7 linked regions of the Oryctolagus cuniculus genome follow. The main gene of each other region encodes a partner of the protein of the gene in region 7 in a complex. Links are inferred from orthologs where the notes say so. Each region holds a gene or a part of one and is shown on either strand. Other genes may lie near its edges.

Region 1 (3,500 bases), on a different chromosome or scaffold from region 7:
CAGGATTCAAACTGGCGCCCATATGGGATGCTGGCACCACAGGCGGTGGCTTTACCTGTTACGCCATAGCACCAGCCCGCTCCCCTTTTATTTTCCTGCTACTATGTTGGTGAGGCAGTTTGACACTTTTTGGGGTCTTAGATGTATTTGAGAATGTAACGAAAACTGTAGACCTTCTCCAGAAAATACACAGAATGTCGCATGTAACACTGAGGGTCACAAGGACATCATGAGCTCTTCAGTCTCTGTGGGCTCCCAGGATTTTGGTGTTGCGGGAAAGCATTGGCCTGGGTTTCAGGAAACCCTGGCTGTGATCTTGGCTCATCTACTCATGAGATCTGTGATCTTGGGCAAGTCATTTAACTTGTTTGGGTATGTCAGTTTCTTATCTTTAATATAGGAAAAATAGCTGTTTTGTGTTTCCCAAAGGCTTTTTTGTAAATTACTAAGTGTAACCTTTGTCTGTAAATACTTAGAAGTAAAAAGTAAACTGATGGAGGTAAAGCCCCACCTGCAGTGCTGGCATCCCATATGGGCACCAGTTTGAATCCTGGCTGCTCCACTTCCGATCCAGCTCTCTGCTATGGCCTGGGAAAGCAGTAGAAGATGGCCCACATGCTTGGACCCCTGCACCTGTGTGGGAGACCGGGAAGAAGCTCCTGGCTCCTGGCTTCAGATCAGCTCAGCTCTGGCCATTACAACCAGTTGAGGGTAAACCAGCAAGTAGAAAATTTTCTCTCTCTCTACCTCTCCTTCTCTCTCTGTGTAACTCTGACTTTCAGATAAATAAATAAATCTTTAAAAAAAAAAGTAAACATATATTTGGTAAATTTTGTTGGTTTACCCTTTTGCAAGAGCAAGTGATCAACCTTTTTGAATATTATTCCAATAATCATGATTGTGGCCAATACTTCAGTGTTTCCTGTGTGCCTATCATTGTGTTATCATCTAACCTGGAATGTATCCATTTCAATTGAGATGGGATGCTATCTATATGCTAGGATAATAGGGTTTTTTTTAAAGATTTATTTATTTATTTGAAAGTCAGAGTTACACAGAGAGAGAAGAGGAGAGGCAGAGAGAAAGAGAAGTCTTCCATCCGATGGTTCCCTCTCCCATTGGCCACAACATCCGGAGCTGTGCCTATCCGAAGCCAGGAGCCAGGAGCTTCTTCCGGGTCTTCCACACTCATGCAGGGGCCCAAGGACTTGGGCCATCTTCTACTGCTTTCCCAGGCCATAGCAGAGAGCTGGATGGGAAGTTGGGCAGCCGGGTCTCGAACCGGCGCCCATATGGGATGCTGGTGCTTCAGGCCAGGGCGTTAACCCGCTGCACCACAGTGCCAGCCCCAGGATAATAGTTTAAGCAGAGAAGTATGTTCACTCTGTTTATCTCCCTTATTCTTTCTAATGTTCTCAGATCATTATTATCTGCTAGATATGTTTGAAAGGTTAAGCAACTTTCTCAAGTTCTTGCATGTAATAAGCAGCAGTGGGATTCCAAATTGTAAGCTCTTATTTACTGTTAAAGAAGAAAGTGGGGGCTGGCGCTGTGGCGCAGTGGGTTAACGCCCTGGCCTGAAGCGCCGGCATCCCATATGGGCGCCAGTTGGAGACCCCGCTGCTCTACTTCCCATCCAGCTCTCTGCTGTGGCCTGGGAAAGCAGCAAATGGCCCAAGTCCTTGGGCCCCTGCACCAGCGTGGGAGACCCGGAAGAAGCTCTAGGCTCCTGGCTTTGGATTGGTGCAGCTCCGGCCATTGCAGCCAAATGGGGAGTGAACTATCAGATGGAAGACCTCTCTCTCTCTCTCTCTCTCTATGCCTCTCCTCTCTCTGTGTAACTCTGACTTTCAAATAAATCTTTTAAAAAAAAGAAGAAAGTGATATTTCTAAGACCTTTCTGGTCAAGTTTAGTGATCCTGTTATCCCTGGAGGGGTGTCTGTCTTTATACCTCCTACCTGTTCCACCAGGCATGTTTCACAGACATGCAATACCAGCCAGTCTAACCTGGCATTTGCCTTGCTTTCCACAGGGCGCCATGACTCCTGGGATCCCCATCTTTAGTCCCATGATGCCTTACGGCACAGGACTGACACCGCAGCCTATTCAGAACACCAATAGTCTGTCTATCTTGGAAGAACAACAAAGGCAGCAGCAGCAGCAGCAACAGCAGCAGCAGCAGCAGCAGCAGCAACAACAACAACAACAGGCTGTGGCAGCCGCTGCGGCTGCGGTTCAGCAGTCTACATCCCAGCAGGCGGCGCAGGGGGTCTCAGGCCAGACACCACAGCTCTTCCATTCACAGACTCTTACAACCGCACCCTTGCCGGGCACCACTCCCCTCTACCCTTCCCCCATGACCCCCATGACCCCTATTACTCCTGCCACACCGGCCTCGGAGAGCTCTGGGATTGTACCACAGCTGCAGTGAGTACCATAGCCAGTGTTGTGGGTCTGCTGTCCCTCGCCCTGGAGCAGGGGTGGGGCATGTCCAGCACCAGGGCTGTGTAAGGCCTGTGAGGTGATCTGCTCAGGGCCTGCCAAGGCAGCCTCAGGCACAACTCAAAATTCATTACATCTATAGTAGGCTGATTTTTAAGGTGATAATTTTGTATGACCTGTAAATGATGTTATAAATGCCCAAATGGCCCTTGGCAGAAAAAAGGTTCCCCACCCCTGCCCTAGAAGGTTCTCTTAGAGCTAAATTACTGTTTGTTGTTTCCAGATGGATCCATTTATTTAACAGAGTGGCACTAATGGTAATTGTGTCTCAAAATTTGCTTCACCTCTGCTTAAGAAAGCTGCCTTCCCTTTTTTCAAAAAAAAAGTTTTGTTTTGTTTCTTGTGTTTTTCTTTTTAAGATTTTACTGGGCCAGCGCTGTGGCTCAATAGGCTAATCCTCCGCCTTGTGGCGCCAGCACACCAGGTTCTAGTCCCGGTCGGGGCGCTGATTCTGTCCCGGTTGTCCCTCTTCCAGGCCAGCTCTCTGCTGTGGCCCGGGAGTGCAGTGGAGAATGGCCCAAGTCCTTGGGCCCTGCACCCGCATGGGAGACCAGGATAAGCACCTGGCTCCTGCCATCGGATCAGTGCGGCGCGCTGGCCGTGGCGGCCATTGGAGGGTGAACCAACGGCAAAGGAAGACCTTTCTCTCTCTCTCTCTCTCTCTCTCTCTCACTGTCCACTCTGCCTGTCAAAAAAAAAAAAAAAAAAAGATTTATTTGTTTGAGATGTAGAATTACAGAGAGGGAGAGACAAAGAGAAAGGTCTCTTCCTTTTCTTCATCCACTGGTTTACTCCCCAAATAGCCGCAAGGCTGGAGCTGGGCTGATCTGAAGCCAGGAGCCAGGAACTTATTCTGGGTCTCCCACACGGGTACGGTGGGCTAGCACTTGGGCCATCTTCCACTGCTTTCCCAGACCATAAACAGAGCTGGATCAGAAGAGGAACAGCCAGGACAAGAAATGGCACCCAAATGGGATGCCAGTGCCACGGGTGGAAG
Region 2 (4,135 bases), on a different chromosome or scaffold from region 7:
CCAATGCTGGACCACAAATGAAGTGAAAGAGAACATTTTAAATATGCAGATGAGAATGTTAACTCAGGAATAAGTTTTTTCTATCTTGAATATCTATGCTTCTGTGAAAACACATTTTAGTTCTCCTTGAATATTATACTACATATGTACCCAAATCAGTTATAGTCCTTTTTTTATGTTAATATTTTTAAAAATATGGAATGCTTCATGAATTTGTGTGTCATCCTTGCACAGGGGCCATGCTAATCTCTATCATTCCAATTTTAGTATATGTGCTGCCAGAGCGAGCACAATATAGTCCTTGATATTAACAAAATTTAGAAGGAAGGTGTTGGAGTTTGTGGCATAATGAGTTAAGTCACACTTACAATGCAGAAATCCCATAGCAGAGTGCAAGTTTGAGCTCTGGTCTATCCATTTCTGATCCAGCTCCCTGCTAATGCACCTGACAAACAGAGGAAGATAGGCCTCTGTCTCCCATATGGGAGACTGGGATGGAGTTACTGGCTCCTGGCTTCTGCCTGGCCCAGCACTGGCCACTGCAGCTATTTGGGGAGTGAACTAGCAGACGGAAGATCTCTTTCTGTCACTCTGGCTTATAAATGAATAAGTTTTTTTTTTTTTTTTTAAGGAAAGTGCTTTCATTCAATAATATGCTTGTATCACTATTACTTCTGTTTTGTTGATGGGCAAATCAAGACATGAAGAATCCATTTAGAAAAGTAGAAGCTGTAGAGACACACAGAATTGGGGCTGGCTCATTCAGTCCTATTCAATTTCAGGCAAAATGCTTAACCTCTCTGAACCTAGTTCTTTATCTGTACAATGGGACTAACAATATCTAATTTGTGGGGCTGTAATAATTAAGTGACACAGTAGGTGAAAAGTGCTTAAATGGTACCTGGTTAGTCTGAGTAGGTTTCAGTAAAAGAAAAAAAAATACTATTATTAAAAAGGAGAAGTAACTGGTCAAGTCTCCACACCATCCTTATTTAAAAACAGCCATCCCTTGTGGTGCAGTGGGTTAACTTGTCACCTGCAAAGCCAACATCCATTATGAATGCTGGTTCAAGTCCCAGCTGCTCCACTGCCAATCCAGCTCCCTGCTAATGCGCCTAGGAAAACAGGAGAAGATGGCCAAAGTGCTTGGGCCTCTGCCACTCATTTGGGAAATCCAGAGGGAGCTCTGGGCTCCTGGCTTCTGCCGGGTCCGGCCTTGGCAGTTATGGCCATTTGGGGAGTGAACCAGTAGATGGAAGATCTCTCTCTCTCTCTCTCTCCCTTTCTGTAACTCTTTCAAATAAATAAATCTTTAAAATAAACAAACACAGCCATTCCTAGTAAATATTTTTGCTATAAATGTAGGGCACAATTTTCTAGATAGCTTATTTTAAAATAAATAAATAACATTAGGTTTCATTTAAAAGTTTTCTTACTGGTGACATTCACTGTTTCAATGTCAACACACTAAGACTCAAAATAAAGCATTAGAATCTATCAGAATCTTCCTCCTGAGTCTGAAGAGAGAACAAAGATTCTAGAAGCACTTTCCAAGGAACATTAACCAAGCGTCTCCTATTTACCGTCCACAGGATACTTGATCAAAATTATGCTCTAAGTAACCACTGTCTCACTGTGACTCTAATCCCTCTTTGGACTTCGGGTCCCTTAAATGTAAACTAGGCGTTGGAAAGAGATGGTCTTTTGGGGCTCTTCCATCTCTGATATTCTTTTATTTGAGATACAGAGCTCTGTGCTCCGTCAGGGTTTAGTGGAAAGAAATTTAAAGCACTTATCAAGTATACAACTGGGTTCAAAGTGTTTTCAACTTCACATCCGATTCGCAAGAATGAAGCAGAAAATGAAGATGCTTCTATGTGGGCTTCCAAGATTAAGTATCTGACACACACAAGCCTGCCAAAAGCCAAGCAGGCAGCGCGAAGGAGGACTCCTCCTCCCCTGAAAATAGAAATGTATACAGAATACATATATCCATCCCTGTATCCTTTAGCACTCTGGGTCAGAGACTACTTGCAAACGGATCACTCTCTTTCCCCAGTCCTCTCTCTTTCCCTTGAAGGCTGATCGCTTACACCCACAGCCGCTTCGATTCTCCGCTTTTAAGGAACTCGGATCCTCACAGCCCCGTTCCTTCCGAAACTTGGAGTCTCAAAGCCCGGATCGCGTGCCCACAGAAGCCCCAAGTCTTCTCCGCCAGCTTCGGCCCCTCAGGAAGCTAAGTCTTCGCAGCCCACCCCGGGTCTTCACGGTCCCGCTCCTGCCTCCTAGGAGCCCGAGTCCTCACTACTCCACTTTCACCTCGCCGGAGCCCGTGTCTTCACGCGCCACTCCGTTCCGACCCTTTCTCCTCTCAGGAGCGCGGGTCCTCACAACCCTGTCCCTCTCAAACCTCTCTCCCTTAGGTGCCAGGGAACTCGCATCCGTCCCCGTCTCCTAAGTCCCGTCGGCAGCCCGGACCCTCACAGCCGCGTCTCCTCCGAGCGCGATCCCCTTAGTCCCGTCCCAGGAGCCGGATTCCTCACAGCCCCGTCTCCTCCACAGCCTGGTCCTTCAAACAGTGACCCACTGTGGGTCTGGGTCCTGACTCCCTCCTCCCGCTCTTCTTCCTCTACTGCCAGGGCCCAACACTCACAGGCAGCAGCGTCTATCTCCCCATGATATGCGGAGACTGCCCCAGTGAAGCGTTCGTCTCAGCAGCCGGTCCGACTGCGCGGCCCTCCCCGAGTACTTCCGGCACCGCTCCCCGCCTCCAACCCGGAAACGCGCGGCTCTTCCGGCCGGCGGGCGCGCGCCTGGCTTGCGCAGGCGCACACCGTCCTCCGACATGCGGTCGCGGTGCAGGGCTGGAGCTCAGCTTCGGTGGCCGCCGTTTTTCCCGCGTGCGGTTGTCTGGCAGCGTGGGCGAACGCTGTGTCTTCTGCCCTGGCGTTTCGAACCCTGCCCTAGGTGTTGCTTCCAGACACTGTTTGTATCACCCGGTAGCATCATCGATAACTGATGCCCTTGGATGGCTGTGAGGTCGCCATTTTTGGTTAATGCCTTTGTCGTGGCATCAGGACGGGGGTGTCACCTGGGACTGCAGCATGCTGTGTGTATTTTTTTGGACTCTTGCCGAGGAGTTGGCAACACAGTAACCTGGAGACGACAGACCGGTTCTGCCTGTGAATTTGCAGTGAAGCGCTTATTTTCCGCTAGCAAACAGTGCTAAGCCCCTACCTCCCATATGTCATTTAATTATCTAGAGGGAGCCCGTGAGAGATTAAGCCGGGGTCTGGCTGATAAGGTCAGAGCCTTAACTTGAACTCAGAACTCCCTCAAGCTTGGATGCCTTCAGTTCTTTCCTCTGCCAAATACTTTATGAGAACTGCTGTATTTTTGCTAGTTGTAAGTTTGTAAGCAAGACCTGGTTCCGGCATCCGTGGGTTCAGAGTAAGACGCGTGCGTGCGCGTGCATACACACACACAGGGCTGTGGCAGGAAGGGCTGCCAAGACCGGTGCAGCAACCTGCCCTCTTTGTCTTCCTGTCTCCCACCCTCATCCCACTACACTGCCGCTGGGTTTACAGTAAGAGCTTCGTCACATTAGGCTTTCGGCTGTCTGCCTCGCGTTGTTTCCCTGTCTGCTACATTCATTCTTTTTAGGGTCTGGCATATCAGTTTTTGTTGTTGAACTGTACATCTTTTCAAGGCCCAGTTTGAATGTATGTTCATTCAGCAAATGAGGCTGACGTGGCTCAACAGGTTAAGCCGCCCGTGGCGCTGGTTCTAGTCCCAGCTGCTCCACTAATAATCCAGATCCCTACTAGTGTGCCTGAGAAAGCAGCAAAAGATGCTGCTCTCCTTGGGGCCCTGCACCCGCATGGGAGAGCCAAATGCCAGATGGAGTTCCAGGCTCCTGGCTTTGGCCTGGCCCAGCCCCGCTGCTGCAGCCATGTGGGGGTGAAGCAGCGGATGAAAGATCCCTCTCTCTCCTTCTCTAACTCTGCTTTTCAAATGAAATCTTAAGTTTGTTGAATCTGTGTGCCACGACTTTTGCTGTATGTACTGGTGGGTAAGAAAGACAATATCCTTGTGAGTTTACAATCCAGGGTGAAACAGAGCAAAAGATAAGAGG
Region 3 (3,500 bases), on a different chromosome or scaffold from region 7:
GGAAACCTGTTGTGACTTCAGTTAGCTCTGGGCTAGGAGTCGGCTGTGCAGGCGATCGCTCCGGCATCCAAGGTCACCTTCCTCTCTGTTTATCTCCCCACGGGTTGGGCTTCGTCCCTGGAGCAACTGAATCGTAGCCCCAACTGCTTGCCTCTCCCAGATCTCCATCCTTCCTAACTCACGTCCCTGACTTCTCAAGAGGGTCGAGACCATGTCGCGTGCTCCAGTCTCGCTTTCCCCTCCGGGCCAGTGCCTGCCTGGGCCGTGTCTCGCCTGCGGCAGAGGTGGGAACCATGGACGGAAGGCAGCGTCCAGGCTTGGGGTCGCTCAGTGAAAGGGTCAGTTCCTGTGGCGGGCAGAGTCTCTTTCCTCATGCCGCTGGTGTTCTGCTTTATTTCGGCTTTTGCTCAAAGGATGATTCTGGAGCTGAGAAGGAAAACGCGTCTGTGCTGCAGCAGGCCCCCTCCTTGCCGGGCAGCCGGAACGGGGAGGAGAATGTCATCGACAACCCCTACCTGCGCCCTGTGAAGAAGCCCAAGATCCGCAGGAAGAAGTGAGTCAGAGCCGGGGCAGGACAGGCTGCTCTGCTCGCCCAGGGCGGCCTTTCTGCTCTCGGCGGGAGAGAGCTCACCTTGGGAGCAGCTCTGTGCTGAGAGGAAACCTCCCCCGCCCTCTCCCCGCTCAGCTCCCCTGTGTGCCTCTTGTTCCTGAGCGGTTGCGTGTCCGTAGCCTGCGGGCCACCCTCGCACCCGGGCCCCAGCCTCCCCTAGGAGGAGAGCAGGTCGGGAGGGGGGCACCCACCAGGCAGGCTCCATGGTTATTCTTCTTTCTAGGTCCCTCTCGTGAGCTGAGAAGGAAGCCTGGCTTGGACAGGGATGGGGACGCCACCCTCATGGCCGAGGCTGTGATGGGCATGGGTGTGACGGCAACCTGGGAGGTTTGGGTGAGAAAACACCGACGCAGTCCTGAGGCCTCTCAGTCAGCTGGCCACGCAGCAGCCTCCTGCCTGCAGCCTCAGCCAGGGACTTCGCTTGTGACCGTGGGACTCAATTCCTTTGCAAGCCCAGGGAAGGCGACAGGGAGAAGGGCACACGTTGCTGCCTTGTGTCCTGCCAGGAGGCCTGTATCCCTACTGTTGAATCACACCTGGGACAATGGTTGATCATCCCGGAATCTTGTTGAGTTCTCGCCTCAGCTGGGCCCCGGGTACCCTCGTGCACCGATGGGAAGTGACTCTGCAGCCCTTGATCGTGTTGGAAATGGGCAGCGCACGCGGCACGGCTTTGACCGGAGGCAGGCAGGATTCGGAAGCCATGAGCAGACAGGTGAACGTGGAGCAAGGTGGCACGGGGGGCAGCACTGCGGCTGCACGTCGCTCCCGAGAGACTCATCACTGGCTCTCCCTCCACGGAAGGTGTGCTTAGGACCTGCCGCCTGCCCCCCGCTTGGGAAAAGAGGTTTGCCTGACAGAAGCCTAGTCTGTGTCTGAGCTGCGACTTGTAGTACAGCCATCGAGTCACACAGGAAAGGGGCAGGCAGGGTGGGGGTGGGACTGAGGGCTGGACCTGGCCCTTGTGTTCTGGAAGCCGAGAAAGCAGCTGCTCTGCCCGAAGCCGTGTTCCTACTGCCAGCAGAAGTGGGCGGACAGGAGCCTGCCGGCCCAGCCCAGGTGGTCTCCAGGTCTCAGTCTGTTCGGTCTCATCACCTCCTGGGGACAAGATTGCATTCTTAGTGAACTTTGCGAGCCAGAAACTTTTTTTTTTTTAAGACTGGACCTGCGTCATGTCACAGCAAGTTAAGCTGACACCTGCAATGCTGGCATCCCATGTGTGCGCTGGTTCGTGTCTCAGCTGCTCCGCTTCTAATCCAGCTTCGTGCTAATGCAGCAGAAAAGCAGCAGAAGATGGCCCAAGTATTTGGGCACCTGCCACCCCATGGGAGACTCCAGTAGAGTTCCCGGCTCCTGGCTTTGGCCTGGCCCAGTCCCAGCTGTTGGTACAGCTATTTGGGGAATGAACCAGTGGATGGAAGATTTCATTGTAACTCTGCCTTTCAAATCAGTAAACCTTAAAAAAACAAAGCAAAAAACCTTATTTATTTGAATGGCAGAATGACAAGGACACACACAGAGAGATACCATCCACTGGTTCACTTCCCAAATGCCCACAGCAGTCAGGGCTGGGCCAAGCCAAAGCCAGGAGCCAAGAACTCCACCCTGGTCTCCTACGTGGCAGGGCAGGAAGGCAAGGACTTGGGCCGTCATATGCTATCTTCCCAGGTACATTAGCAGGAAGCCAGATTGGAAGTGCTGAGGTACTGGGACTCGGACTAGGCCCTGTGATGGCAGCATCCGATGCTGTGACTTAACCAGATGCGCCAGCATGCCTGTCCCCAGAGAACAGATTTTTAAAGAAGATATAGAGCGCGCAGGTATCTTTAGATCTCAGAAGGAAAAGATCTTCAAACCAAACCAAGGAAGAGAAACTCCAGTGCCACCTGGAGATTCACACGGGAAGGACGTGTTGTTCCCTGGGCCAGACTCTTACAGTCCTTAGTTAACTTCTCACACCCCCCACTGGACTCCCAAAAACTGTGCAGACCTGGCTGCAGGCCCCGTGTCCTTAGGGCACTGTGCCCTGCCTCCCGGAAGGAGGACCTGCTCGTGAGGAACTGGAGAAGAGACACCACCGAGACAGCTGGATCTCCCAACCCTGGACCGCGTAGGAGCTTCCAGGTTCACAGCGACCGGAGACCCCTGCTGAAAGCAGTCAGGCCAGGCTCAGTGGACCCCTCGGGGTTGGTCTGCCGCTCAGCAGTTCTGGGCGCAGTGGGTTGAAGCACAGTCCCAGATTGGAGGCGTGGCGGATCCGGCTTGCTGTCCTCACTGCCCTCAGGAGCTGTCGCCCGGGTCGTTTCTGCAGTTCCCCGTTCATCCTGTGCCGTTGCCATCCCAGCCAGGCACCTGCAGGGTTAAGTGGGAGGCGGGAGAGGGTTGCCACAATTGCTGTAATTCCATTCTGGAGGGAGGCACCGGGAGGTGGCCAGGCGACGTGAGGCATTGACCCGACTGCTGCTGTTGTATGCGAGTTGCATAAGTCTCGATGCATATTTATAAATTTCTATTTTTTTAATAACTTTGGGGGTGGTCTTGGCCAGAAACAGTAGTAAACAGCCCGTTTAAAAATGTGACTTATGAAAATCCTATAATAAAAACTTTGTAAATAAACAGTGCTGTAAACTTTACACGTGATTTGTCTTTGGAAGTTATGGCCCTGTACAAGGCTATGGACAGAAAAGGAAGGCATAGCCCTTCTGTAATTTTAAGTACCCCTGGGAACTTAGTAAAACTTCAGTTTGAGAAATTTTCCAACACAAAGTCAGACAGGAGATTATCTGAAGCCATCCGTACCCCTCACCCGGCTTTAATACTTAGCAGTGTCCCATCAATTCTGTTTCAACTGTTTCTCCCATTTTTTCTCTTCCTGGAATATTTTGGTTTT
Region 4 (4,124 bases), on a different chromosome or scaffold from region 7:
CCGGCGGTAGCTGCATTTGCCGCTGCACCCTCTGCTCCATGCGGTAACCACCCAGTCCCGGGTTGCCGTACTCCCACTGCCGCTGGCCGGTCACCGTCAGGTTCTGCCCAGTCACCTGCACCACCAGCTCCTCGGGGGCGAAGCCCTGCGCGTCCATCTTCATTTGGAAATCGTCTGCGGCCCGGCCATGGTCCTGCACAGCGGCCGGGTGGTCCCTCAGCAGCTGCACCGGCAGTGTGGCCACCTGATTGCGTTCAGCGAGGGCCACACTGGGACTCCTCGACGCCACCTGGTTCCCGTTGGAGAAACTGCTGCCGACCCGCTGCATCCAAGTGAGCAACTGCTCTTCAGGGGCACGAGGCTCCGAACGCAAGGCCCGAGCTCGGCCAGGCGTGTGGACTCCAAGGAAACGGGAGCGGGGTCCTCACGAGGCCCCGCGCGGCTCCCCCGGGTCGGGTTGGGTCGGGTCGGGTCAGGCGGGGGCAGCTCATTCCCTTTGACTTCCGCAAACTTCGGCTGGGTCCGGGGTCAGCTCTGCCCGTCCTGCCTCCAGGAGCGGGCTGTCAGTTGCTCAGGAGCACCCGCTATACTTTTACCCTGGCCCTGCCCTTTCTCCACCACGGCACAATGGAGCCACTGAAGAGGCTGGACGCCGGGAGCAGACACTCGGCAGCCACCGACCGGCCAGGGGCAGGGAAGCCCATTGCTGGCAGAGACAGCGGGCGGGGTCCTCCAGGTCCTCCATCGCGGCGTGCCCTGCTTCTCCCTGAGCACACGCACGAGGGAGGCGGGCACATCCCTCCCTGTCCTCGGGGTCTGGGGCCACAAAGATGATGGCGCGGGCATCCCGCGTCCCAGTGGTTTTCCTTGTCGCTGCTGCGACCACAGCCGCGCCCCTGGAACTCTGTGTTTTGATACTAAATTCTCTCCGTTGAAGGATAACAAAGTGCACAACGCAGTACAGGTGGATGGTACACAGCGCACGCCCGGGGTAGCCACCGAAGCTCAGAGCTTCGGCCACGTCTCAGCCCCTGTGCGGCTGCAGCCCCGCGTCTGGGCCTCACGGGATGGGGCCTCGGCCCCCGTGGGGGGCGCCTATTTCCTGGGATGCACCTCCCTGTCCCTAAGACGGCAGCAACCGGAGCCGTCCCGGACGCCTTCCAGATAAATTGGGAGCCAGGAAGTCTGGGGTGCTAGCTGGGGCTCCCCTTGGCTGCCTGGTACCAAGAGAAAGGACGGAAAAGTCTGGAAGCTGGAGGCCAGGGGCGCGGCGGTGGAAGACTACAACTCCCGTCGTGCGTCGGGCCTGTGGCGCCTGCGCACTGCGCACCGGTTGCCCATGCGGCCCTAGGGCTGGGAGCGCGGCGCCGCTCCGCTGCGGGGGAGGCCATGGCGGAACCTTCTCAGGCCCCGGCCCCAGTCCCGGCTGCGCAGCCCCGGCCCCTTCAGTCCCCAGCCCCTACCCCAACTCCTACTCCTGCGCCCAGCCCTGCTTCAGCCCCGACTCCGGCTCCCACTCCGGCACCAGCCCCCGCCCCGGCTGCAGCCCCAGCCGGGAGCACAGGGACTGGAGGGCCCGGGGTAGGAAGTGGGGGAACCGGCAGCGGGGGGGATCCGGCGCGACCTGGCCTGAGCCAGCAGCAGCGCGCCAGCCAGAGGAAGGCGCAAGTCCGGGGACTGCCGCGCGCCAAGAAGCTTGAGAAGCTAGGGGTCTTCTCCGCTTGCAAGGTGGGGGCGGGGCCTAGGGTGAAAGGGGCGGGGCTTGAGGGCATCCCTGGGCTCGGGTGGGAATGGGGGGCGACGCTCTGGACGCTTAGCGGCCCCTGCCCCTGGGGTGCGGGGGTCGTTGACTTATCTCCTGCCTCCAGGCCAATGAAACCTGCAAATGTAATGGCTGGAAAAACCCCAAGCCCCCTACTGCTCCCCGCATGGACCTGCAGCAGCCTGCTGCCAACCTGAGCGAGCTGTGCCGCAGCTGTGAGCACCCCTTGGGTAAGGCAGGCAGCGCCCTTGCAGGTGGTGGGCGCCAGGTGCTGGGGCCTGCTTGGACAGCCTGATTTCGCTGCCAGGAAACCTCGTCTCAGGACCTTAGGAGGTGTGGGGTTGGGGGCAGGCAGGCCGAGAGGGAGGAGAAAGGGAAAGTGCCAGCCGGGAAGATGCGGGGCCACCTTTGGAAGTCTTGGCTCCCTGCCGAGCAGGGCGTCCATGCCTCCCCACCCCGCGGCCCGGGCTGGCTGTCTTGCAGCTGACCACGTGTCCCACCTGGAGAATGTGTCAGAGGATGAGATCAACCGGCTGCTGGGGATGGTGGTGGATGTGGAGAATCTGTTCATGTCGGTGCACAAGGAGGAGGACACGGACACCAAACAGGTCTACTTCTACCTCTTCAAGGTGAGCTTCCGCGAACGGGCGTGAGTGGGGGGCAGGGGGGCTCTCAGTTCTGATGCTCCCTCCCTCCCTCCCTCCCTCTTCCTGCAGCTCCTGCGCAAATGCATCCTGCAGATGACCCGGCCTGTGGTGGAGGGGTCCCTGGGCAGCCCCCCGTTTGAGAAGCCTAATATTGAGCAGGTGGGGTGGGGCACGGGGAGCTGGGTCCTCCCTCCTGCTCTAGCTGAAAATCAGAGGGGATCAGCCGGGGGCGTGTGTTCTGTGCTGACTGCAGAGTGGGGTGGAGGAGGGGGGGCACTTTGTCACGAAGCTGGCTTCTTAGCCCTCCTCCCTGGATTTGTTCCCCACCCCACCCCTTCCCAGGGTGTGCTGAACTTCGTGCAGTACAAGTTTAGCCACCTGGCTCCCCGGGAGCGACAGACCATGTTCGAACTCTCCAAGATGTTCCTGCTTTGCCTTAACTACTGGAAGCTGGAGACGCCCGCCCAGTTCCGGCAAAGGTCCCAGTCGGAGGATGTGGCTACCTACAAGGTCAATTACACCAGGTAGGCCCTGCCCGGGCGGGGGCTGGGGGGGGATTTGTAGACCTCCCCATGTGCTCTCACCCTGCTGTCCCCACCCCCAGGTGGCTGTGTTACTGTCACGTGCCCCAGAGCTGCGACAGCCTGCCTCGCTACGAGACCACTCACGTGTTCGGGCGAAGCCTCCTCCGGTCCATTTTCACTGTTACCCGGCGGCAGCTGCTGGAGAAGTTCCGAGTGGAGAAAGACAAGCTGGTGCCGGAGAAGAGGACCCTCATCCTCACCCACTTCCCCAAGTAAGGCTCGTTCCGGCCCACTGCGAGTTTGCCCCAAGTTCACGTCCTCCCTGTTGTCCCCTTTTTTCCAGGAAGCCTTCCTGGATTGGTCCCTCCTCTCCCTCCATGGGCCTTCTGGGATCTGGGCGTCTACCTGGCAGACTTGCCCATGGCCCAGAAGCAGCTTGCTAGTAGTTGCCTTTGCACGGCCTAGTCTGGGGATGGCAGGTACATGGCCCCGGCTAACGCTGCCCCTCCCACACCCTGCTAGGCGTTACTAATTGTTTCCCATGGGGGCCTGGACCCAGCCTCAGAATCCCTCCCACCACAGAGCTCCAAGAAGCCAGCGCTGACACCTGAGGTGACAGCAGTGTCCGCCCCGCGCTAGTCCTTTCTGTGCCAGTGTCCCCCCGTGTGCCACACCTCTCTCCCATCTTAAGCCTGGCTCGTGACTTCTCTGTTCAGAGAGCCTTGGCTGTCAAATCCGGGCCCCTGAGTGCCCCTGCCACCAGGTGGGAACAGGAGGTGGTGAGTTGGGGTGGATTCCTAGTCATCTTGATGCTGCGGGGAGCAGGGGGACCCAGGGGGACGTGGTGCCCTGCCTGGCTACGGGGTTGGTATTTAGCTCGGGCCCTGTGGCCCTGTGCTGCCCGAGATGGCCAAACTGGGCCCCTTTGCTTGGTGTGTCCGAAGCTCTCACCTTGCATTCGAGGCTCCCGGGAGCCAGGGGGCCGTGCCTGCCCCTGTGGCCAGGGCTTCCCGCAGGGCAGAGCTTGCTCTCAGACGCGCCTCGCAGGGTCTGTCTCTGGCCACGGCACAGCCGCAGCCCCCCGGGGGCCCGGCCCAGGCCGCCTTTGGCGGGAGGGCGGAGTCGTGGACAGACGGCGCCCTCCCCCCAGGTTCCTGTCCATGCTGGAGGAGGAGATCTACGGGGCCAACT
Region 5 (3,932 bases), on a different chromosome or scaffold from region 7:
GGCTGACATTCCACATCAGAGTGCTTGTTTGACTCCCATCTACTCTACTTCGAATCCAGCTTCCTGCTGCTGTGATTCTGGAAGGCAGCAGGTGATGGCTCAGGTACTGTGGCCACTGCCACCCATGTAAGAGACCCAAATGGCATTCTGGGCAACTGGCATCCGCCTGGCCTAGCCAAGCCTCAGCTGTTGTGGGCATGAGCGAACCATCAGATGGAAGATCTCTGTCTTTTTCTGTCACTCTGCCTTTCAAATAAATTTCAAATAAAAAAGACATACTGATGTGCAGTTTTAACATCACATGTAAACTGCTCGTATCTGTCCCAACCTTAATAAACAGGTATTCTTAAATCTGTGTTGTCTCATCTCTCAATACCCAGCTATATAGATATAAAGGAATCCGTACTGGGAGATAAAAAGCTATTCTCATGATGACTTTTAAATGTTGTCCTGGACTATCAGCAGTAGGAACAGATCTCCTTTCTTCATGCTGCTGTCTAAAAAGGGTAAAATCTGTCTACTGAGGGAGTGGGACAAAGCACTAACACATTATATTATCTTCATGCCATTGTATGTCTCACATTGTTCCTCACCTTCCTGCCCTGTTCACTGCCCTTAGTCCAAAGTCTCAACTTAGCCCCTACCCTCAGCACCTGTTTCAGTGCCCACAGTCAAAAGAACTCCTGCTTCTACTGTTGCAAAGGTAAGGGCCAGGAAAACGTGGAGGTATATTGTTTTGTCCTGAATTGAAACACTGATCATATTTGTTAGGAAACTGGTGCAGTTTTATCCATGGCGCTATCTACACCATGATTTACATCCTATGCCCCGGTTCTCACAGCCATTGCTGAAAGCCATGTAGCCACATGGCCCAACCACCAGTGTCAAGCTCCACCCCCATCCTAACGGGATTCGCTGCTCCTGTTTCCCTGCCCGCCCTCTGGCAAAGTTTAAAAGGGCCTGTTCCTGAACAGGCGGCACTCTTGGCTCTTCTCTCCTGTTCTCTTGGCTCCTCTCGTCTCTCTTCTCTCCTCACTAGCTCCTCTACTCTCCGTGTCTCTTTCTCTTATACTCTCCTCTCCCTTTTTCCCTTCATCACCTCACCCTTCCGGTCTGCTGGCTTTTCTCAATAAACCCTTTCCCTTACTCCGGAGTTTGGTGTGTTTTTGTGACAGCCTAACAGAAAGACATAACAATATTCCCTCACTTAAATTCTGTACAATTTAAAACACAATTATACGTTAAACTGGGGTTAGTATCTGTGATTCAAAAATTAAACTGAGGGGCTGGTGCTGTGGCGCAGCAGGTTAAAGCTCAGGCCTGAAGCGCTGGCATCCCATATGGGCACCGGTTCTAGTCCTGGCTGCTCCTCTTCCGATCCAGCTCTCTGCTATGGCCTGGGAAAGTAGTAGAAGATGGCACAAGTCCTTGGGCCCCTGCACCCGCATGGAAGAAGCTCCTGGCTCCTGGCTTCGGATCGGCACAGCTCCAGCCATTGCGGCCATCTGGGGAGTGAACCACAGGATGGAAGACCTACCTCTCTCTCTGACTCTGCCTCACTCTGTAACTCTTTCAAATAAAATAAAAATAAATCTTTTAAAAAAAGGCAAAAATTAAATTGAACTTTACTGGCAATTTTGAGAATATTATCCTTGCAAACATTTTCAGAATATAAATCTATTCCAAAGGACATGTCCAAAAGTTTGCATGATCTATAATAAAATCACTGTCAAATACTACTTACATTCTTTAGAAAAGAGTCTCTTTCTTTTACCCTGTCCACCTTCTGCACCTCCTCCAATTTCTTCATTTTCTTCCTCAAACTAGAAGTTAAAATGTATATATAGAAATGTCAAGTGATTGCATTGCATTTGATATTTTAATAACTTGCTTTCATTTTTAACACTAATATCAGGCCAAAACGCTTAAAAGCAAGCACTAAAAAATCATGATAACTTAGCACTAAAGAGCCCTTAGAGACTACCTAGTCAAAATTTCAATTCCCGCAAAAATGGTTTCTACACTGTCCACAACAATCCTGCCTAGACACGTAAGCCTTTTAACAGCCGCAAGTTCTTTTTGTTTAAAACCAACTAAGTTGGTCTACTGCTAGCCAGTGTTGCCATTCAAGGACCGATACTGAATCAAAGCCTACCTCCCTGCAGCAAAAAAGGAAAAATTTTAACTAAGCACCTGCTTATACAGTGCTAAAACCTTTCCTTATCTGTTTTAACCTTATTTTATATCAAGAACAACCGATGCTGAAAGTTAAATAACTTGTTCGGTGAGAATGGAGATTTTGAAATCCAGGCTTCTGATTTGTGGTCCGTTATTTCTCCAACACTTCACAATAAATATCCAATTCTGTTAGCAGCTAGATTGTTGGTTCATTTAACGAGCACCAACAAATACGAGTGATTAGCTCTGACGATCGTCTAGTTTCACAAAGTGTCTAGCAGATTCAGCCCGAATCCGAAGGGAAAGGGGCTACCTTCCCACTACTTCACGTCCTGCCCCGGAGTACTAAAACCATGAAGCTGAAGGAAAAGACAAGCACAACTGGTCCCCGAACTCTCTCGACTGAATTCACTAAGGAAAACACCCCATTCTGAACTCTGCTTCCGTCACTAAGCCTGAGCGAAAGGGAGGATTGGGACAAAGGCGGTCACTCACGGTGGGATCTTCTTCCTCATCTGCCATTACACTAGCCCGACAACCTACTGTGCCGCGCCGGCTCGCTCTCAGCGGGTTTTTACTACTTCCGTTGCGTCACTTCCGGTGACGTAGGGGGCGGGGCCGGGTCCCCGCAAACACGCCTGGGAGGGGGAGCTGCCTAGCGACCGCTGAGAGAGACGGTCTGTAGGGTAGCAGCGTGAGCTCTGGGTTCTGTAATCCCGAGGAAGGAACTAAAATTTAGCAAACTGAAAGAAATGCACCAGGCAGTGTGTATCCTCTTATCACCCTACATCTCCTTGTGCGTGTTGAATCCACCTTTCCTGACCTGGAGCGTAGGAGGGCGATCCCGCGGTCTTGCTCTGAGGGGTGTATTTTAAAGTGCAATGAGTTACGCCTGCACTATTGATCCCAAGCACTTTGTTAATTATTGTGGGGTACTATATTTCACTACTAGTTCTCAAGGGGGCGCTATCCTTAGAGACGATTTAAAATTTTCTGGAGAAGAATTTGGGTTTTAACAATGAGAACACGCAGTAAGAGGCTGGAGTTGACATAAAATATCCTGCAACCTAAGGGATGATGCCACACGATAAAAAAGTCCAATAATACACACGATTTCTCTATGTCCTGCTGAACATTCAATGACTGAAAATATTATTTTATATAAACTATTTTTCCCATGCTTTTAATGAACATTGGATTTCCTGTGACTGTTACTTCTTCAAAATTGGTGATCTGTTGCATTTTGCTTTGTTTGGAACTTATTAAGAGGAAATACTGCCACCAAAGGCAATATCGCTTGTAATTTAAATAGTGCTCACCTGGAATCTGCCTACATTTGTAGTTCCTACATTCGAGGTAAATTTACATCTAGGTACAAGCAACCACATTGTTATTATACCTCCTGTGTTGTCATGCCTGAGAATTTACGTGTTAAAAACATATTAATAGGCCGGCGCCGCGGCTCACTAGGCTAATCCTCCGCCTTGCGGCGCCGGCACACCGGGTTCTAGTCCCGGTCGGGGCGCCGGATTCTGTCCCGGTTGCCCCTCTTCCAGGCCAGCTCTCTGCTGTGGCCAGGGAGTGCAGTGGAGGATGGCCCAGGTGCTTGGGCCCTGCACCCCATGGGAGACCAGGAAAAGCACCTGGCTCCTGGCTCCTGCCATCGGACCGGTGCGGTGCGCCGGTCGCAGCGCGCCGGCCGCGGCGGCCATTGGAGGGTGAACCAACGGCAAAGGAAGACCTTTCTCTCTGTC
Region 6 (3,500 bases), on a different chromosome or scaffold from region 7:
TCCTCCTCGTCCTCTCCAACCGAATCCTGTTTATGAACGGCACTCTGCGTCCTGGGTCAGAATCAGGGCCCGGTCTCTGCCCGTGTCTACTGAGGTCTACAACAGCCTGGTCTCTGCCCGTGTCCACGCTGTGGTCTGGATGGCCGGTCTCTCTGCCCGTGTCCACGCTGTGGTCTGCACAGCCGGTCTCTGCCCGTGTCTACACTGTGGCCTGGACGGCCGGTCTCTGCCCGTGTCTACTCTGAGGTCTACAACAGCCTGGTCTCTGCCCGTGTCCACGCTGTGGTCTGGATGGCCGGTCTCTGCCCGTGTCCACGCTGTGGTCTGGACGGCCGGTCTCTGCCCGTGTCCACACTGTGGTCTGGACTGCTGGTCTCTCTGCCTGTGTCCACGCTGTGGTCTGGACGGCTGGTCTCTCTGCTTGTGTCCACGCTGTGGTCTGGACGGCCGGTCTCTGCCCGTGTCCACACTGTGGTCTGGACTGCTGGTCTCTCTGCCTGTGTCCATGCTGTGGTCTGGACGGCCGGTCTCTGCCCGTGTCCACACTGTGGTCTGGACTGCTGGTCTCTCTGCCTGTGTCCACGCTGTGGTCTGGACGGCTGGTCTCTCTGCTTGTGTCCACGCTGTGGTCTGGACGGCCGGTCTCTGCCCGTGTCCACACTGTGGTCTGGACTGCTGGTCTCTCTGCCTGTGTCCATGCTGTGGTCTGGACGGCTGGTCTCTCTACCCGTGTCCACGCTGTGGTCTGCACAGCCGGTCTCTGCCCTTGTCCACGCTGTGGTCTGGATGGCCGGGGTCTCTGCCTGTGTCCACGCTGTGGTCTGGACGGCTGGTCTCTCTACCCGTGTCCACGCTGTGGTCTGCACAGCCGGTCTCTGCCCGTGTCCACGCTGTGGTCTGGACGGCCGGGGTCTCTGCCTGTGTCCATGCTGTGGTCTGGACGGCCGGTCTCTGCCCGTGTCCACGCTGCTGTTGCCAGGGGTCTTGCGTTTTCTGCTGCCCACCCCCCGCCCCGAGTTCCTGAGAGCAGCCGGCTCCGTGTGGTCCAGTTCCTGCCCATCTCGCTTTTCTCCCCTGTTTCCACCAAACTTCCTGTAATTTCTTGAGCAAAATTTTTTTTTTTAAAGATTTAATTTTATTTGAAAGTCAGATTTACACAGAGAGAGAAGGAGAGGCAGAGAGAGAGAGAGAGAGAAAGGTCTTCGGCCACTGGTTCACTCCCCAGTTGGCCACAATGGCCGGAGCTGCACCAGTCCGAAGCCAGGAGCCAGGAGCTTCCACACGGGGGCGGGGGCCAAGGGCCTGGGCCATCTTCCACTGCTTTTCTACACCACAGCAGAGAGCTGGATCGGAAGGGGGGCAGCCAGGACCCCAGCCGGTACCCATAGGGGATGCCGGCACCGCAGGCGGCGGCCTTAGCTGCCACACCACGCACGGCCCCCTGGGCTCTCTCGCTTCCTCTGTGCGCGGCTGGCCCCTCGAGGACCTTGCGGGTGTGGTAGCGTTGTTCCCTCCCGAGAGGCGCCCTGACCCCCAGCTCACTGTGCTGACCTTGAGCGTGGAGCCGTCCCCGCAGAGCTGCCGGTGCTGAGGGGCTTGCTCAGCCCTGAGCGAACGCTCAGACACGGGCAGACGCCTCGTGGCCCCCAGCCGGGGCGCGCTGGTGTGCGGGGGGCGGCCCTGGCCTGGGTGCCCAGGGGTCTGGGCGTGTCGGGAGAGACGTGTGCGGGAGGTCTGCCACCGCGGGGTTTCAGCGTGGCTACGTGTGCGGGAGGTCTGCTCCCGCGGGGTTTCAGCGTGGCTACGTGTGCGGGAGGTCTGCTCACCGCGGGGTTTCAGCCTGGCTTTTCTCTTTCAGGATGGAAAAATCGAAGCAGAAGATTTCACTAGCAGGTTATACCGCGAACTCAACTCCTCACCTCAACCTTACCTTGTGCCTTTCCTGAAGGTAATCAGCAGGGGGCAGTGCGAGGCCCTGCGGGGCGCAGGCGCGGGGTGCTCGCTCAGCCAGGCTTTCCTGCGGCGCGAGCCGACGCTGGCGCGGGCTCTGCGCTGCTTCGGAAGAGGCGGCTTGGGGCGGCTTGGGGCGCCTTGGCCCAGCAGGGCGGGGTCTGCCCAGGGAGGGCCTCTTGTCCCAGCACTGAGTCTACAGTGCTTTTTGTTCTTTAATGAAGAGCTCCCCTTAACTTCTTTTTTTCTTTTTTTTTATTTGAGAGGCAGATGGAGCTCTCGCAGCTGCTGCCTCGCCCACGGCAGCTGTGGCTGGGCCGAGCGGAGCGCAGTCTGGGTCTCCCACGTGGCGGGGCAGAGACCAGGCGTTGGGGTCTTCACCTCCCGTTGTGCCCGCACCCCAGCGTGTGTGCATGAGCAGGGAGCTGGACTGGGAGTGGGGCTGGGGCCTCAGCCGGCCGCTCTGACACCTGCCCGACTCCTACCCTGGTGCTGCTGCTTTTTGGTTCTTGTGTTTTGAACGACTTATTTTATTTACTTTGAAGGACAGAGTTAGGGGACGGGGGTTTGGGGTGGATCTTCCATCTGCTGGTTCACTCCCCAGATGACTGCAATGGCTAAGGCTGGGCTGAGCTGGAGCCAGGAGCTTCCTCCTGGTCTCCGTGTGGGTGCAGGGGCCCAAGCACTGGGCCAACCTCCACTGCCTTCCCAGGCCACAGCAGAGAGTGGACTGGAAGCAGGGCAGGCAGAGTGGGATGCTGGTGCCGCAGGCGGAGGCGCAGCCGACTGCACCACAGCACTGGCCCGTGTCCGGCTGCCGCGCGCGCCGCTCCCTGACCCCTGTGCCTGTCTTTCCGCCCAGAGGAGCTTACCCGCCTTGCGACAGCTGACGCCGGACTCCGCAGCCTTCATCCAGCAGAGCCAGCAGCAGCCGCCTCCCGCCTCGCAGGCCACCACCGCGCTCACGGCCGTGGTTCTGAGCAGCTCCGTGCAGCGCACGGCTGGGAAGACGGCGGCCACCGTGACCAGCACCCTGCAGCCCCCCGTCATCAGCCTCACGCAGCCCACGCAGGTCGGCGTGGGCAAGCAGGCGCAGCCCGCCCCGCTGGTACGAAGTGCAAGGCCCACCTGCCCTGCAGCCAGCTCGGCCGGCTTCTCAGTGAGGGTGGAAGGTGGGGGCCGGGCTGGGGTCTGCTATCGTGCTGCTCGGCAGTGGAGTGAGGGCGTGGGCTCCGCCCCGCTGGCGTGGGCGTGGTCAGCGGTGTTCATGTGTTAAAGGAACCACACATGGTGGTGATGACTCCCGGCAGCCTTCCTCTGTGGTCAGGAGTGATGGCCCTGGACTCGTGGGGCAGGGGCCTGTGGCCATAGTTGTGGGTCCACGTGTTTTGTAGTGTAGGGAGCCGTGGCTGCTGGCACGTGGTTCATCCACGCAGCCCCGGCCCGAGGAAGGATGTGTGGGTGGAGGCAGTAGGCAGAGTGGGCTCACCAGATGCTCATGTAGTTTTTCCGAGGTGTCCAGGGGCCTTCTTCCTCGTGGACTAAAGTGC
Region 7 (4,050 bases):
AACTTTTTATTGAAATGTATATGCTGGGGCCAGTGCCATGGTGCAGTAGGTTAATCTTCTGCCTGCACTGCTGGTATCCCATATGGGCGCTGGTTCATGTCCCAGCTGCTCCTCTTCCAACCCAGCTCTCTGCTATGGTCTGGGCAAGCAGTAGAGGATGGCCCAAATCCTTGAGCCCCTGCACCTGCATGGGAGACCAGGAAGAAGCACCTGGCTCCTGGCTTCAGATGGGTACAGCTCCGGCTGTTGTGGCCATTTGGGGAGTGAACCAACGGAAGGAAGACCTTTCTCTCTGCCTTTCCCTCTCATTGTCTGTAACTTTACCTCTCAAATAAAGAAATAAAAATCTTAAATGTATATGTATGTATATATATATATATATATATATATATATATATATATATGCTGAGGCCAGTGCTATGACTCACAGGGTTAAAGCCCCGGCCTGCAGTGCTAACATCCCATATGGGTGCTGGTTCCAGTGCCCAAGTCTTCTGATCCAGCTCTCTGCTAATGCACCTGGGAAAGCAGTGGAAGATGGCCCATGTACTTGGGCCCCTGCACCCACGTGGGAGACCCAACAGAAGTTCCCGGCTCCTGGCTCTGGATCAGCTCAGCTTAGCTCTGGCCATTGCAGCCAACTGGGGAGTGAACCAGATGGAAGACTTCGTTCTCTGTCTCTATCTCTTTCAAATAAAAAAATAAATCTTTAAAATATTTATATGTATGCTGTAACGTTCACAAAATTATTTAAGCATGCAACTCGATTTGTAAGAACTGCCAAAAAAAAAAAAAAAAAAAAAAGGAAGTAACCACTATCCACATCAAAATGCAAAACATTAGCAGTATCTTGGAAGCATCCTTCGGGCAAACGACGCGTGCTTTAGTGCTAAGAACATGGCTTTGAGTCGTGACACTTAAGACTTCTTGTGTGTGACTTCAGCAAGTTATTTAACCTCTCTGGGTTGTAGTTAAGCCACTTCTAAAGACTGTTGAATTAAAGGCTTCCATATAATAACGAAGATCGTCTATCACAGTGCCTGAATATAACTGGCCTGCAATAAACAGTAATTATGGTCAGGCAAATATAGAGGCGGTCACCAACTCCCACTTCCTGCCGGCCTTTCGCTCATTTTTTGAAAGTTGCTCTCGCTCCCAGCCCTTTTCTCCTTCTCTCTCGCTCCTCCTACTGCCGTAAATAGCCGACCAGAGCTGTCGTGAAATGCTCCTCCCCGCCCTCCATGTGGCGAAAACGCAATCACGCTTGACGGCGCGAGGTGGCTCAGCCGCAAGATGGCGGCGCTGGCGGAGGAGCAGACGGAGGTGGCGGTCAAGCTAGAGTCTGAGGGACCACCGACGCTGCTACCTCCGCAGGCGGGTGACGGCACAGGCGAGGGCACCGTCGGCATTACCAACAACGGCCCCAACGGCAGTGGCGGGAACGTTGCGGCGGCGTCGTCGGCCGGCGGGGATGGCGGGACCCCCAAGCCCGCGGTGGCTGTCTCCGCTGCTGCCCCGGCGGGGGCGGCTCCGGTACCTGCCGCTGCCTCGGAGGCTGGTGCTCCCCACGACCGACAGACTCTGCTGGCGGTGCTGCAGTTTCTACGGCAGAGCAACCTCCGCGAGGCCGAAGAGGCGCTGCGCCGCGAGGCCCGGCTGCTGGAAGAGGCAGTAGCGGGCTCCGGAGCCCCGGGAGAGGTGGACGGCGCCGGCGCTGAGGCGGCTAGCTCGCTTCTCAGCCGGGTCACCGCCTCGGCCCCCGGCCCGGCGGCCCCCGACCCTCCGGGCACCGGCGCTTCGGGGGCGACGGTTGTCTCCGGCTCAGCCTCAGGTCCTGCGGCTCCGGGGAAAGGTGAGCCGGGGGGTCCCGGGGAAGCCGGGCCGGCGCGAAGGGGAGCTAGCCGGGAAGGCGAGGGCTGGCAGGCCTGCACCTCTGCGGGCTTGTTTTGAATTTCCTGGGCCCGCCTCTAGGGCCACATGCCCGCCCCTTTCCCGAGTGCGCCGGCTGCGCAGTCAACCCTCGTCTGAGCTGTCAGTTGCAGCGAGAGGCTGAACAGAGCTGTGGATCTGAGCTGTGTGGGGAAGGTGGGCGCGGGGAGGCGGGGACCTCCAGGCTTCGGCCCCTTTTCTCCCGTTTGGGCTTTTAAGCTTTGGGCAAGTCTGCATTGACAGCGACAGTCTTTGTGGAATTCTGTACTGGCGTATTTTAAGCTGTAAATACTTGGCAGTCTCGGTTCTCACAGTTTCATTGAGGCGGACATGACCTCTATTTTGGAGACAAGGAAACAGATTTCTTGAGCGATCCCAAGGAGCTTGCCTTGGGTCTCGGTAGCCAGGGAGTGATGGAACATGGTGTACCCAGCATTTCTCAAAATACGGGCTAGGCACCAGCAGTGCTGTGTCTTCGGGGCATCATTTCAGACGGAGGGAATCAGACCCTTAGAGGTAGAGTCTGGGAACCTGCGTTTTTGAGTTGGTGCTTCCAAGAAGTATGGATGGGTCGTGAAGTTTGAGAACTCTAAGTTTTAGGAGCCATAAGGTGGACAGACCTCTTTGTCTCTGCTGCTTTTACTTGTGTGATGTTGATTGACTCATTTTTTCCTAAGGTTACTTTTTTTTTTTTCTATTAACTGAGTTTTTATGAGACTCAGATGTAATATCTGTAAAATGCCTTGTGCTGATAGGCTCTTTCCTCTCCATCCCTGACACCCGAGACCACACCTTTCTTCCAGTAAATGTCATAAGTCTTTGCAGTACAATTCATACACAATGTAAGATCTTGAAGGTGATCCTGAACCAACAATAAATATTCATTGAATTAAATTATATGTTGCAGAGCCTCTAGCCAAATTAATCTGTATTTATGTGACCTAATCTTTGCAGCATTGCCAGAAGTGAAGTTTGAATACATAGTGTTGTATTTCATAGATAGAAATGCCCAAAATGTGGTTGGGAGGAATTTCTTCTTAATATTGAATTTTGTGAATGAACTATAAAATGAGTTATATTGTTGGTTATTTTACTGTCATCTCTTGATTCTGAAACTAAATCAGTTTTTAGATCATAATTGAGAAGTCAGTAAGGAGGAAAAGAGGCCATTAGAGTAACCCAAAGAATTACATTTATGCCATAGAAAGCGTAACTGTATTATTATTGCAATTTAAATTTCCACTTACCCAAAGTAATTTGATTGACAGATGTAACTTTGATATTCCTATATTAGAAATAGATACTCTGGGCCGGCGATGCGGCTCAGTAGGCTAATCCTCTGCCTGCGGCGCCGGCACCCTGGGTTCTAGTCCCAGTTGGGGTGCTGGATTCTGTCCCGGTTGTTCCTCTTCCAGGCCAGCTCTCTGCTGTGGCCCAGGAAGGCAGTGGAGGATGCACCTGCATGGGAGACCAGGAGGAAGCACCTGGCTCCTGGCTTTGGATCGGTGCAACGTTCCAGCCGTAGTGGCCACTTAGGGGGTGAACCAACGGAAAAAGGAAGACCTTTCTCTCACTCTCACTGTCTAACTCTGTCTGTCAAAAAAAATAAAAGAAAAAAGAAAAAGAAATAGATACTTTGTCTTCTTCCTTGAAATAGTGGTTATGGAAATTGCTTTAAGCATATACAATTGAGTTAGTTTTAGGTGTGGGGCAGTGCCAACATCCCATATGGACACGGGTTCAAGTCCTGGCTGCTCCACTTCAGTCCAGCTTTCTTCTGTGGCCTGAGAAAGCAGTAGAAGCTGGCCCAGATCCTCAGGCCTTGGAAGAAGCTCCTGGCTCCTGGCTTCGGCTCAGACCATCTGTGGTTGTTGCAGCCATTTGGGGAGTGAACCAGTGGATGGAAGACCTCTCTCTCTCTCTCTCTCTGCCTCTGCTTTCAAATAATAAATAAATAAATATATTTTAAAAAATTAGGTGTGGCCCTTCCCATTCTAAAAATGCCTACATTTTACTTTTAATATTTATTATTACTTTTAATTATTAAATTATTAAATATTATTAATTTTAATATTTATTTGAAAGGCAGAGTTACAGAGAGAGGGAGAGAGAGAGGTCTTC

What was found.
Region 1: TAF5 (region 7) and TBP share a complex: the UniProt entries of both Homo sapiens proteins name them as parts of the TFIID basal transcription factor complex. The link is inferred for Oryctolagus cuniculus from reciprocal best matches to the Homo sapiens genes TAF5 and TBP.
Region 2: TAF5 (region 7) and TAF12 share a complex: the UniProt entries of both Homo sapiens proteins name them as parts of the TFIID basal transcription factor complex. The link is inferred for Oryctolagus cuniculus from reciprocal best matches to the Homo sapiens genes TAF5 and TAF12.
Region 3: TAF5 (region 7) and TAF8 share a complex: the UniProt entries of both Homo sapiens proteins name them as parts of the TFIID basal transcription factor complex. The link is inferred for Oryctolagus cuniculus from reciprocal best matches to the Homo sapiens genes TAF5 and TAF8.
Region 4: TAF5 (region 7) and KAT2A share a complex: the UniProt entries of both Homo sapiens proteins name them as parts of the TFTC-HAT complex. The link is inferred for Oryctolagus cuniculus from reciprocal best matches to the Homo sapiens genes TAF5 and KAT2A.
Region 5: TAF5 (region 7) and TAF13 share a complex: the UniProt entries of both Homo sapiens proteins name them as parts of the TFIID basal transcription factor complex. The link is inferred for Oryctolagus cuniculus from reciprocal best matches to the Homo sapiens genes TAF5 and TAF13.
Region 6: TAF5 (region 7) and TAF4 share a complex: the UniProt entries of both Homo sapiens proteins name them as parts of the TFIID basal transcription factor complex. The link is inferred for Oryctolagus cuniculus from reciprocal best matches to the Homo sapiens genes TAF5 and TAF4.

The regions. Positions count from the first base shown.
Region 1 is NC_091436.1:47,885-51,384, reverse strand, and holds part of TBP (TATA-box-binding protein), read left to right. Parts: intron 1-2,033; coding exon 2,034-2,428; intron 2,429-3,500. UniProt on the Homo sapiens protein: The TFIID basal transcription factor complex plays a major role in the initiation of RNA polymerase II (Pol II)-dependent transcription.
Region 2 is NC_091438.1:143,057,259-143,061,393, reverse strand, and holds the start of TAF12 (transcription initiation factor TFIID subunit 12), read right to left. Parts: upstream 2,801-4,135; 5' UTR 2,654-2,800; intron 292-2,653; exon of another isoform or gene 190-291; intron 1-189. UniProt on the Homo sapiens protein: The TFIID basal transcription factor complex plays a major role in the initiation of RNA polymerase II (Pol II)-dependent transcription.
Region 3 is NC_091436.1:127,850,257-127,853,756, reverse strand, and holds part of TAF8 (transcription initiation factor TFIID subunit 8), read left to right. Parts: intron 1-413; coding exon 414-553; intron 554-833; coding exon of another isoform or gene 834-846; exon of another isoform or gene 847-3,500. UniProt on the Homo sapiens protein: The TFIID basal transcription factor complex plays a major role in the initiation of RNA polymerase II (Pol II)-dependent transcription.
Region 4 is NC_091448.1:20,670,822-20,674,945, forward strand, and holds the start of KAT2A (histone acetyltransferase KAT2A), read left to right. Parts: upstream 1-1,324; 5' UTR 1,325-1,389; coding exon 1,390-1,728; intron 1,729-1,868; coding exon 1,869-1,992; intron 1,993-2,245; coding exon 2,246-2,391; intron 2,392-2,478; coding exon 2,479-2,568; intron 2,569-2,751; coding exon 2,752-2,933; intron 2,934-3,013; coding exon 3,014-3,205; intron 3,206-4,083; coding exon 4,084-4,124. Other genes in the region: HSPB9 (heat shock protein beta-9), read right to left, coding at 1-328. UniProt on the Homo sapiens protein: Protein lysine acyltransferase that can act as a acetyltransferase, glutaryltransferase, succinyltransferase or malonyltransferase, depending on the context.
Region 5 is NC_091438.1:61,355,766-61,359,697, reverse strand, and holds the start of TAF13 (transcription initiation factor TFIID subunit 13), read right to left. Parts: upstream 2,801-3,932; 5' UTR 2,701-2,800; coding exon 2,674-2,700; intron 1,824-2,673; coding exon 1,745-1,823; intron 1-1,744. UniProt on the Homo sapiens protein: The TFIID basal transcription factor complex plays a major role in the initiation of RNA polymerase II (Pol II)-dependent transcription.
Region 6 is NC_091442.1:1,310,106-1,313,605, forward strand, and holds part of TAF4 (transcription initiation factor TFIID subunit 4), read left to right. Parts: intron 1-1,858; coding exon 1,859-1,948; intron 1,949-2,812; coding exon 2,813-3,058; intron 3,059-3,500. UniProt on the Homo sapiens protein: The TFIID basal transcription factor complex plays a major role in the initiation of RNA polymerase II (Pol II)-dependent transcription.
Region 7 is NC_091446.1:26,646,026-26,650,075, reverse strand, and holds the start of TAF5 (transcription initiation factor TFIID subunit 5), read left to right. Parts: upstream 1-1,250; 5' UTR 1,251-1,293; coding exon 1,294-1,852; intron 1,853-4,050. UniProt on the Homo sapiens protein: The TFIID basal transcription factor complex plays a major role in the initiation of RNA polymerase II (Pol II)-dependent transcription.